2 linked regions of the Tribolium castaneum genome follow. The protein of the gene in region 2 purifies or fractionates together with the protein of the main gene of each other region. This does not show direct contact. Links are inferred from orthologs where the notes say so. Each region holds a gene or a part of one and is shown on either strand. Other genes may lie near its edges.

Evidence for each region. Proteins that work in one complex are often made in the same cells at the same time.
Region 1: the proteins of Sirt1 (region 2) and Jra purify together in Homo sapiens (affinity purification with mass spectrometry; 4 studies listed by BioGRID and IntAct, with this or other methods). This does not show direct contact. The link is inferred for Tribolium castaneum from reciprocal best matches to the Homo sapiens genes SIRT1 and JUN.

The regions. Positions count from the first base shown.
Region 1 is NC_087399.1:145,501-150,185, forward strand, and holds Jra (Jun-related antigen), read right to left. Parts: upstream 2,460-4,685; 5' UTR 2,316-2,459; intron 2,268-2,315; coding exon of another isoform or gene 2,195-2,267; intron 2,154-2,194; coding exon of another isoform or gene 2,035-2,153; 5' UTR 2,027-2,034; coding exon 1,343-2,026; 3' UTR 1,127-1,342; downstream 1-1,126. Other genes in the region: ClC-b (H(+)/Cl(-) exchange transporter 7), read left to right, coding at 1-607, 663-746, 795-977; phosphatidylinositol N-acetylglucosaminyltransferase subunit Y-like, read right to left, coding at 2,035-2,153, 2,195-2,267; uncharacterized protein LOC663924, read left to right, coding at 3,745-3,808, 4,354-4,542, 4,591-4,685. UniProt on the Homo sapiens protein: Transcription factor that recognizes and binds to the AP-1 consensus motif 5'-TGA[GC]TCA-3'.
Region 2 is NC_087394.1:11,919,520-11,924,477, reverse strand, and holds part of Sirt1 (NAD-dependent protein deacetylase sirtuin-1), read right to left. Parts: intron 3,682-4,958; coding exon 3,401-3,681; intron 3,231-3,400; coding exon 3,035-3,230; intron 2,981-3,034; coding exon 2,752-2,980; intron 1-2,751. UniProt on the Homo sapiens protein: NAD-dependent protein deacetylase that links transcriptional regulation directly to intracellular energetics and participates in the coordination of several separated cellular functions such as cell cycle, response to DNA damage, metabolism, apoptosis and autophagy.

The sequences.
Region 1 (4,685 bases), on a different chromosome or scaffold from region 2:
GGGGGCTGCTTGGGGTCGGCTTATTTCAGTCGGACTATTTCGAGTAATCCCCGACGCTGTTCTCATTCATCCGGGGAAATACGCCCTGATTGGTGCAGCCGCTCAATTAGGAGGCGTAGTCAGAATGACAATTAGTTTGACAGTGATTATAATGGAAACGACAGGAAACATTTCCTTTGCTTTGCCTCTAATTCTGACATTAATTGCGGCAAAATGGACTGGTGATTTTTTCAATGAGGGAATTTATGACACACTTATACAACTCAGTGGTGTTCCGTTACTCCCATGGGAACCCCCGCCACTAGTTCACAATATCTACGCCAGTGAGGTGATGTCGCATCCGGTGGTTACACTGAAGTGTGTTGAGAATGTGGGGCATATTGTTGAATTGTTGAAATTAACAACTTATAACGGATTTCCGGTTGTTGATCCGCCACTAACTGATCAATCGGAAGTTACCACGTATGGGAGAATAAGAGGGTTAGTTTTGAGGTCACAATTAATTGTTATTTTGAAAAAGAAGATTTTTAACGAAAATTCGGACTTTTGGGAGGATATTAATGCGGGAATCTTTCGAGATGAGTATCCCCGATATCCAACAATAGAGGTAGTGGTATTTCTCTCGCCCTTTCCTTTTTAAGTAATTAAGTTTAATTCTTTAGCAAGTGAGTGTTTCCGAAGTTGAAAAAACTTATTCTATTGATCTGAGGCCGTTTATGAATCCGTCACCATATACGGTGCTTCATGTAATTAAAAAAACAAGTAATTAGCATTTAATCATTTTTTTTTTTCAGTCGGCATCACTACCTCGAATGTTTAGATTATTCCGAGCTCTCGGTTTACGACATTTGCCGATTGTTAATGACACAAATGAGGTTATAGGAATGGTAACAAGGAAAGATTTAGCTCGTTATAGAGTCTGGAGACATCGGGGTCGCATGGGGGTAGAAGAATTATTAATTTCCAAAGAAATATGACCGCTTACAGTATTATGATATGATGATATAGTTTCACGAATAATTATGTTGTCGCTTTTGACAAAAGAATTTTATTTATTGTTAATTAAAGACTTTACCCATTTTCCATTGTTTTTATTCTAACCAATTTTTTTTAATGAATTCACTACTTGTTACTGAGACAATTTTTATTAATAAAAATGTGATAAACTACATAAAATAAAACAAATCGCGCTAAATCTACCGTAAATAATACAATTCAAATGGCTCCATACAAAATATGGTCACAGTATTAAAGCTACAACTATGAATATCTCAGCACCAAAATATAAAAAAATCACTCTGGTGTATAATTTTTATAAAAAAATATAAATCGTACTCTATCCTTAAAACTGTCCCGCAATGATGGGACAGCCAGCATTCACATGTTCCATCACTTCCAATTTGAGCATCCCCACGTGTTCCTTCAACTGGTTGACCACTGAAGCCAATTCAACATTCTCACTTTTCAACAGTTTGACTTTATCCTCCAATTTCGAGATTCGTTCCAATTTGCGGGAACGACATTTAGAGGCTGCGAGTCTATTCCTTTGTCTCTTTCGCTCCAATTTCATTCTTTCCTGATATTCCATATCGACAGGAGACATTGGGGGCGTATTATTCACGTTGGGCACCGTTTGGGGCTCCTCTTTGATCACAGGCATGAAATTCTGCTGTTCGCTGTAAACCGTACTGGCATTACTGTCAGAACCTTGCTGAGAATTGCCATTGTGAAGATAATTAAGCGCTTCGACGAAACCGCCTGCAAACTTCTCTTGCTCCACAGTGACGTCCCGCGGGAAGATAAGTGAAGGGGAAGGCGTGTGTGAAATATTATTCGCCAAGATGATGTTCTCAATGGTGGGTGTGTCCACTTTGAGGAGGTCAGGGGTATCTACTTTGAGGACGGACGTGATGTCGGGGGATAACGATAGGTTCATGTTCATTTTCGACTGATTAAGATCAAGAGTGAGATTTTTCTTCATGTTACTGAGGTTTTTTTGCTGACTTTCAAAGTTGGGTCCGCTCATTTTTTTTATCAATTATTTTTGTACAATTCCCAACCTAACCACGACCAAAGATTGAAAAATAGGTAAACAGGCACGACGACCAAAGCCAACAGTGAATAATAAACGGAATCACTAATTTCCATAAAATCTGAAATGGAAATTTTAGGTTAAGTTACGTCAATAGCAAACAAAAGAATATCGAGAAATGAAGATTCTCGAAGAAGAAAACAAAGTGAAGGTCTGTGAGGTGTCCCTCAAGCATTACTTGGTAAAAAAGTAAATAATGAATCTTTAATATTATAACACTTACTTTAACACCACATTCAAAAGCAAAGCGCTTTTATTTGTAATGACTCACAATGTAGCACAACACTGGCTTGAAAATTTCTTGAATATAACTTTTAACTTCTTGTGTAGTATTGTTCTCGAAATACTACAGAATACTAACAAATACGACGTAATAACTTTCGATATGAATGAGTCATCCCTTTCATGGATTTTCAGAAATGAGAATGACGTCATGTCGAAATGATTCGCTAAAGCGACACCTAGACAATTCTACAGGAAACTGACCGCAGTGTTTTACGGGTTGCCAACATGATCTTTGAACCCCATCTTACCCCATCCAAAAAATACGATTTAAGAAATGAAAAGACAGTGATATTAACGACTAAAGTTTTAGCCGATTTTCATTCAAAAATTGTGATTTAATTTACAAAAAAACTTTGGAAACAAAGAAAAAAGTGTAAATATTTTATATTCTGTCCGACTTTAAATGCGATAAGTACTACAAAATAAAAACAAATTATGGTAATAACCAAATAGATAACTATTTTTAATTATCATGCGAGGAAAAAACCTTTATTTAGAAAATGTATGATAAGAAGCATTGGCACTAAAATAACAGAAATTGTAATAAAGAGATCAACAATAGTTGTCTATTTCTTCAAAATGACGAAAAAATTCCTAACCTGCTTTATTTGTAGCGTATGAGCTAGTTTGCCTAGGGTAAACACAGTTCCCTTGACCTTAATAGGATAATTCATTTAAATTACTTTTTCGATCAAAATACGTCCCCGAGTGTATGCATCAAGGAGCTCCTTGGTCCGTCCTTGGTATACATCAACGGTTCATAGGTTAAAAAACCCAAATAAAATTGATTTGCAAATAATAATTCCACAGGGAATATTTGCCACTTCCTGTCTCGCCTTCGCAAAGCGGAAAAATGGATGGTGTTATTCAACGTGTTATTTCATCAATTGCAACAAATTTGGACGGATATGGTGAATTATCCAATTGTATCAAACGGTTTCGTAATACTAATTAGGATAATAAATTAAAGGGTAGACACAACTTTGCAGACTTTGCAACACGAACGAAACATTTTTTTTTTCGGAAAAAAAAAACTATGTAGGAGTTAATCGAGCCACATCATAGCAAATCAGTAACACGTATACGCCAACTTTTTTTTTTGTAATTACGGAAATGGTAACCCTTCTTCACTTCAGTTCATTTACTATCAATCAATAAAAATTGAAAAAACAATCCGTTATATTTTTCTTAAACGCAGATCGCACTTTATGAATCTTTCCGTTAGAATCAAGGTTTCGCGCAGGCCCTATTTGAAGCTGCATTCAGTCTTCATATTGAACTCAAACCGAACATTTCGTGATCATATAATCTAATTTTATTTAAATTAAATAATTCTTTTCGTTTGAAATTTTTAACACAAACCAATAATGGTCCATTTACAATACATTACTGGACTATCCCTTCTTCTTATTTTAGTGTGTTTGAAATCAAGTAAGTATAAAACACCCTCCAGTTCGAATTTAACTTATGCCTCTCATAAATTTATTTAATTATTGCTACACTTGTGAAGTGCTACACTTGTGAGACAGTAATGATTACATAATCAACTACTTTTATTGTTCGCACCCTTCGAGACCCCTCCAATTTTTTCCACCAATTCAAGTAAATCGCTACTTGTATTGTAGACAATTTTAGAAATACTTTCGCTAAAAAAATTATTAATCAGAAACATGTAAATGCATTAATCGTAATTAATTTAAAAAAGAAAAAGGTGCATGCGCACGCGCAATTTCATTTCGAAGATCAATAAGCTGTACCATTTGGGAATAAAGAGAGAATAAAGTTGAGAAAATCTGAATACTATTTGTTTTTGTTGACGCAAGTCATATCATGAATGATAAACACTAATTTATTCTATTTCTGTACCAAATTTATCTGTGTTCCACGAAGAGACTATATTATGTTCATTGAAAATGAAAACACTTTCAATGCACACCCTCTTTAACTTAAAAAAAAAATCATCCGTTTTCTCTTAGGTAACGCCATTAGATGTTACCAGTGTAACAGTTACGCGGATAAGAGATGTAGCGACACCGATATTGCCAAATATAAGACCGAGTTGGAAATGGATTGCCCCAACATGTCGCCCCCTGGAAGTGAGCCCGGAACAAAGTACAAACTGTGCCGGAAAATCAAGCAAGTGATTGACTTTGAAGTCAATGGATGTAATAAGTGAGATCGAGAGTTTGAACAGTTTTGATGATTATTTTTAGTGCAACCGGAAAGTCGTATTATCAGGACCTGTGGTTGGGATGACTCCCATTACAAGAACAAATGTTATCAAAGGTCGGGGTTCGGAGGTCGTCAA
Region 2 (4,958 bases):
TAGTAAAGTTTTTACTACGAAATCTATTCGTGACCTATTTGAACAAGATTTCAGCTAATTCCAAGTCGTTTTAGTTAATTCTGGGTTCAACACTCAGCTAAATCAAAATATTTTTCCAAAATAAAAGTAAATCAGAAGATCATTTTGTGTAATAGAAATTCAATTCAATTCAATTCAATTCAATTCACGAGATTCAGTCCTAACAAGCTAAAAATCGTCGTTTTAACATAAAAATTGCGCTATCTCAAATAATTCCGAGAGATTTTATTTTACCATTTTTTATATCAAAAACGTACTTAGTACATAATTTGAAAAAGATTTACTGACTTTATTTATCTTCGCTTTGAATAAAAAACAGCATAAGTTCAGTGAGAAAACTACAGTTTTTGGTGAGAAAAATGTAATTTTAGCAAATTCTGAAGAATTTTGCTCATTTTGAACCAGAAACTTACTCAATTTAAGGCATTTTGTCGAAACAAGTTATCGCTTATATCAAAATAAACTACTTTAACAATCAATGATATTTGGCTCATTTTTATTACTTTGGTTACTAAAAAAAGTTAAATAAAATCGTCAGTTTGAGCAAATTAACGAATTGCCAGAGATTTAGACCGGCATTCTTTTAATTAGAAAAGAATTTACTTAAATAAAAATGTTGTAACTTCTTAGACTGAGGTTGATAAATAAAAACGTCCTGATTAACCTGTATTTAATGGCAAAATTCCATTTTCTTCAGATTTAAAAAGAACAACGCAACAAGTTCAGAGAATTTCGAGCACTTTTTAAACAGATACTAAGCCAAGTTCATGAAATTTTGCCAAAACAAACCAGCTCTCCATAATTATGAGTGGAAACAATGGTATTTCGGCAAACTTTAAGCTCAATTCTTGGGCATGTCAAGTCATTTAGTTGTAATTTGAGCCAAAAACATAATTTACCAAAATATTTTGGCGACGGAAACCAAAACATTGTCGTGTTAAGACAAAATAACGCTATATCTAATAAAAAGATGTTTTAAAATGTCTAAACAAAAAACACTCTATTATTATATAATTTCAATTTATTCACGAAATTAGTTGAAAAAAATAAAGATACTTTTTGGCTTACTATAACAGAGGACTAACTGAAAGATTAAGCTCGTTCTTGTACCAGAAACTCACTTATTCGGAAAAAAAATTATAAATCGAATAAATCAGCCAAAAAATTGCTGTTTTGGGCCAGAAAAATGCTAATTCAACCTCTTCCAGGCTGTTGAACTCATTTTAAAACAAGTTTTCTTCTAAAAATTTCCACGAAATTGAAAACAGACCAAGAAACCGGTAGATAATATTTTTTTATTCTATTATTCAGAAACTCACTTAATTCAAGAAATTTTGGCGAAATCTGACAGACAATATTCAGTTTAGGTCAGAATAATGATATTTCCGCCAATTCCAAACAATTTAGACAAATTTTCCTCTGAAAATTTCCGATAAATTGAGAGCAATCCCTATGGTATGTGTGTATCGGAGTAATTTATTATTCAAAAAAAAAACTCTGTTCAATATTGAACAGAAAATCTGTTTTAAATAAAACTTATGTAGATAAACACTTTCATTGCACAACAGATGGAAACCGTGATAAAAACTTCCTTGATTTCCGAAAAGTTGGAAATAGAAAGTTCGTAAATTTTGATTATAAAAATAAGAAAGCAAAATTTCGCCTTTTGTGAAACTGTTTAAAACATACAATTAACCGTATTTTTGTGGTATCTTGCCCACTTTTGCACCAGAAACTCACTTAGTTCAAAAAAATTGGCTAAATCTGCCCAATATTTGTTTTAAGTCAAAATAATGATACTTCAGACAATTTAAAAAATTGAACTCATTTTAAAACAAGTTTTCCTCTAATATGCCCAAAAACTTGGAAAACAGTCGCTGTAGTATGTGAGTAATGGATTCATTTATAAGTTTATTACTCAAAAAAAAATAACAGCAAAATATTTTAGGTGAAAATAATACTATTGATGCAAATTTTGAAGCATTAGCTCAATTTTGCACCATAAGCTCAATTAAAAATACTTGCTTTGAGACAGAGTAAGATTATTTCAGCCGCTTCCGAGCAATCTATGTCGTTTTCGAATAAAAAAAACTCCCTGAATTCAAGAGATTGGCAGAAACAAGTTGAAAAATTCATAGCCTTACTATAATAATACTATTACAGCCAATTCCAAATGACTTTGTTTATTTTTGTTTTGAAAACACTTATAAGCCCAAAGATCTCAGATTGGATCACAATTACGCTATTTCATCTTATGCTAACATGTCTTTAAACAAATAAAATTTAAATTTTAAATAAAAACTTATGCAATTAAACTCAAAAGAATCCCGGTAAAATGACATATATTGTAATTTCATAAAAATAATTTCGCTGTTATTTTCAGAACATTAGGAAGCTTACTATACGTATGAAAGCAAAGTTTTATCTGTTTATCTGTTTTGAAAATGTTTCAAAAATACATTTAGCAACGGTGAAATCAGTTGTACGTTTTGTTTTAGTTTAGACATTAATTCATAAATCACTTGCCTCAAACCAAATAAGTATTTAAATCACTGGTTAAAATAGTAAAAAAGTCATCTTTTTTAAACAAATTCCAGAGTAATAATATGATTCTGGCAATAAAATACTACACGTACGTTCCACAATTGAGGTAAGAAATTGGACAAACTGGTAAAAAATTAATAATTTAAAATATTATTTTCAAATCATTACCTGTGACAAGGACTTGGCGTGAATTTTCCTGGATATATATCTCGTGCGAATTTGAAGAAGGGCCGAGGGTCTTGACTGAAATAGCTGATATCAAACATTGCTTGCGGGTCTGGAAGATCTGGAAAATCTATCGCCAGTCGAACGTAAATCCCATCACGTGATCGAAAGTCTGGAATTCCACACGAAACAGACACTCCAGCGCCGGTTAAAACTATTATATTTTGTGCTCCTAAACCAAACTTCCGTCAAAAAACACCACTCATTTATGAATTAAATGACAAACCTTTAACCAATCGAACTACATCGTCCAAAGTATTAACATGTCGCAATTTGTTCCGTCGTGGCGGCTCGGCCAACATGTTTATAATTAATTTCCAGAGAGTTATTTCGTCTACATATTGCGGCACTTGATCCAGATCCACACCCAGATCGCTCAGCAGCGTTCGGGGATTCACGCCGTTTTGCATCTGTTTTTGAATCTGTTGCGGAAAATTATTTATTAGTTATTTATTATACAAGACGATAAAGAGTTTGTGTATTTGCAAAAAAAAAATTACAGTGCTATTAGATTTACTCAACAGAGTTGATAAAGAAATAGTTTAACAGCTACTACAGAAAAAAAAGATTGTTTATGGTAATTATATCGTACCCAAATCATGCTGCCAGCCATTGGTTTCCAATCTTGTCCAGAGAGGTCCGAAAGACCGCTTATTTCGCTAACTGTGGAGGCATTGTCATCGTCGGCTTCGATACTGTCCTGAGATGTGTCCGCTTGATCTGTTCGGGATGGTGTTAGAAATATTTCGGAAAGACTGGATAAACTCTCTGGGACATCGCCGGGGTCAGTGTGAGGTGAGGTCTGGTGTGAAGAAGTTGGAATTGATTCTAACGTGGATGCTTCATAACCGGAATCGCAATCAGGTGATATTCCTATCAAAAAAAAATGACGTTTACAATCCCATCGCTCAATTTTTTTATTTAATTTCGTTCTAAATGCTTTTGTCCGCTTAGTTTTTGTACGTAATGCATGTATTGTCGATTGTTTTACAGTCCCTATTATGAAAAACATGTTGGTTTTTTACTTTTCAGCCCAATATGTTATATCTTTTTTATTTTTAAAAAATGACATTAAAAAAAATAGTTACTGATTGATAATAATTAATAATCCATTTTCGTAAAAAAAAACAAAAAAAATAATGGTTTTTTTCATCCTGAAATGACTTTCAGGCAAAAGTGAGTATTCGATACCATTGTACTTTTTTTTTGGTTGGGATTTTCCAATTTTTACACACTTATAAATAACTTCCGCATGTCTAATCTTCTAGGGGAAAACTAAAATCGAATGAGTTTTACCAATCTCTAATCATATAACTTACTATGTATTTTATTTATCTGGTTTTCTAGCCTTACTAAATCATGAACATACAAAAAATTCTTGATATTCATTTGCTCTCCAATTTAAAAGTCAGGAAAAGTATTAGGTACGGGGTGGATTTGATAGTATTCCATACATTTTAGGGGTAATAGTAAAGCTCAAAAGAAGTTAAAATAACTCAACTTGCCTCATAGTTATAGTTTCTGAGATATAAATAATGCAGCCTCCACTTTAGTATCAAAATACTCGTCAAAAAATGCAATGTAAACGAAGTTTGCGTCTTTTGATTACTTTACTCCGAAATTGCCATGGCTAATAGTCGGTAACATTTGAGAAAATGAAATTCGATAAAGTAAAAAAATATAAAAAAAATTTAACATTATTTATTTATTTTTTGTGGAGTCATAACAAAATTAACAAAATATGCTTAAAGGAATGATAATATATTTTAAAGAACTTACTTCAAAGATCAGATTTTTTACAATTTTCATTGGTAAAGTTTGGGGGTGTCCCATAAATTTATATAAATAGTCCCATAAATAGTGTCAAATTCACCCTGTATGTTTAAAATCTATATTTCCTATTTTTTTGAATTTTAAAGTAAGAAATTAGTGATTTTAATGGTTATAAGGCCAATCTTACCAACCCTAGTGTCGTCTGAGTTATTTGTGTAAATATTAAGTTAACATTGTAGTGTTTATGTAACTGCATAATTTACACTTGTCATTTCACTGTAGTAGTCTTTTTTCTTGGAGTAAATTTAAATTAAATTTAAGAAAATTATATAAGGTCCATAAAAATCCCAAATGAAGAAAATTACAAACATAGGTAA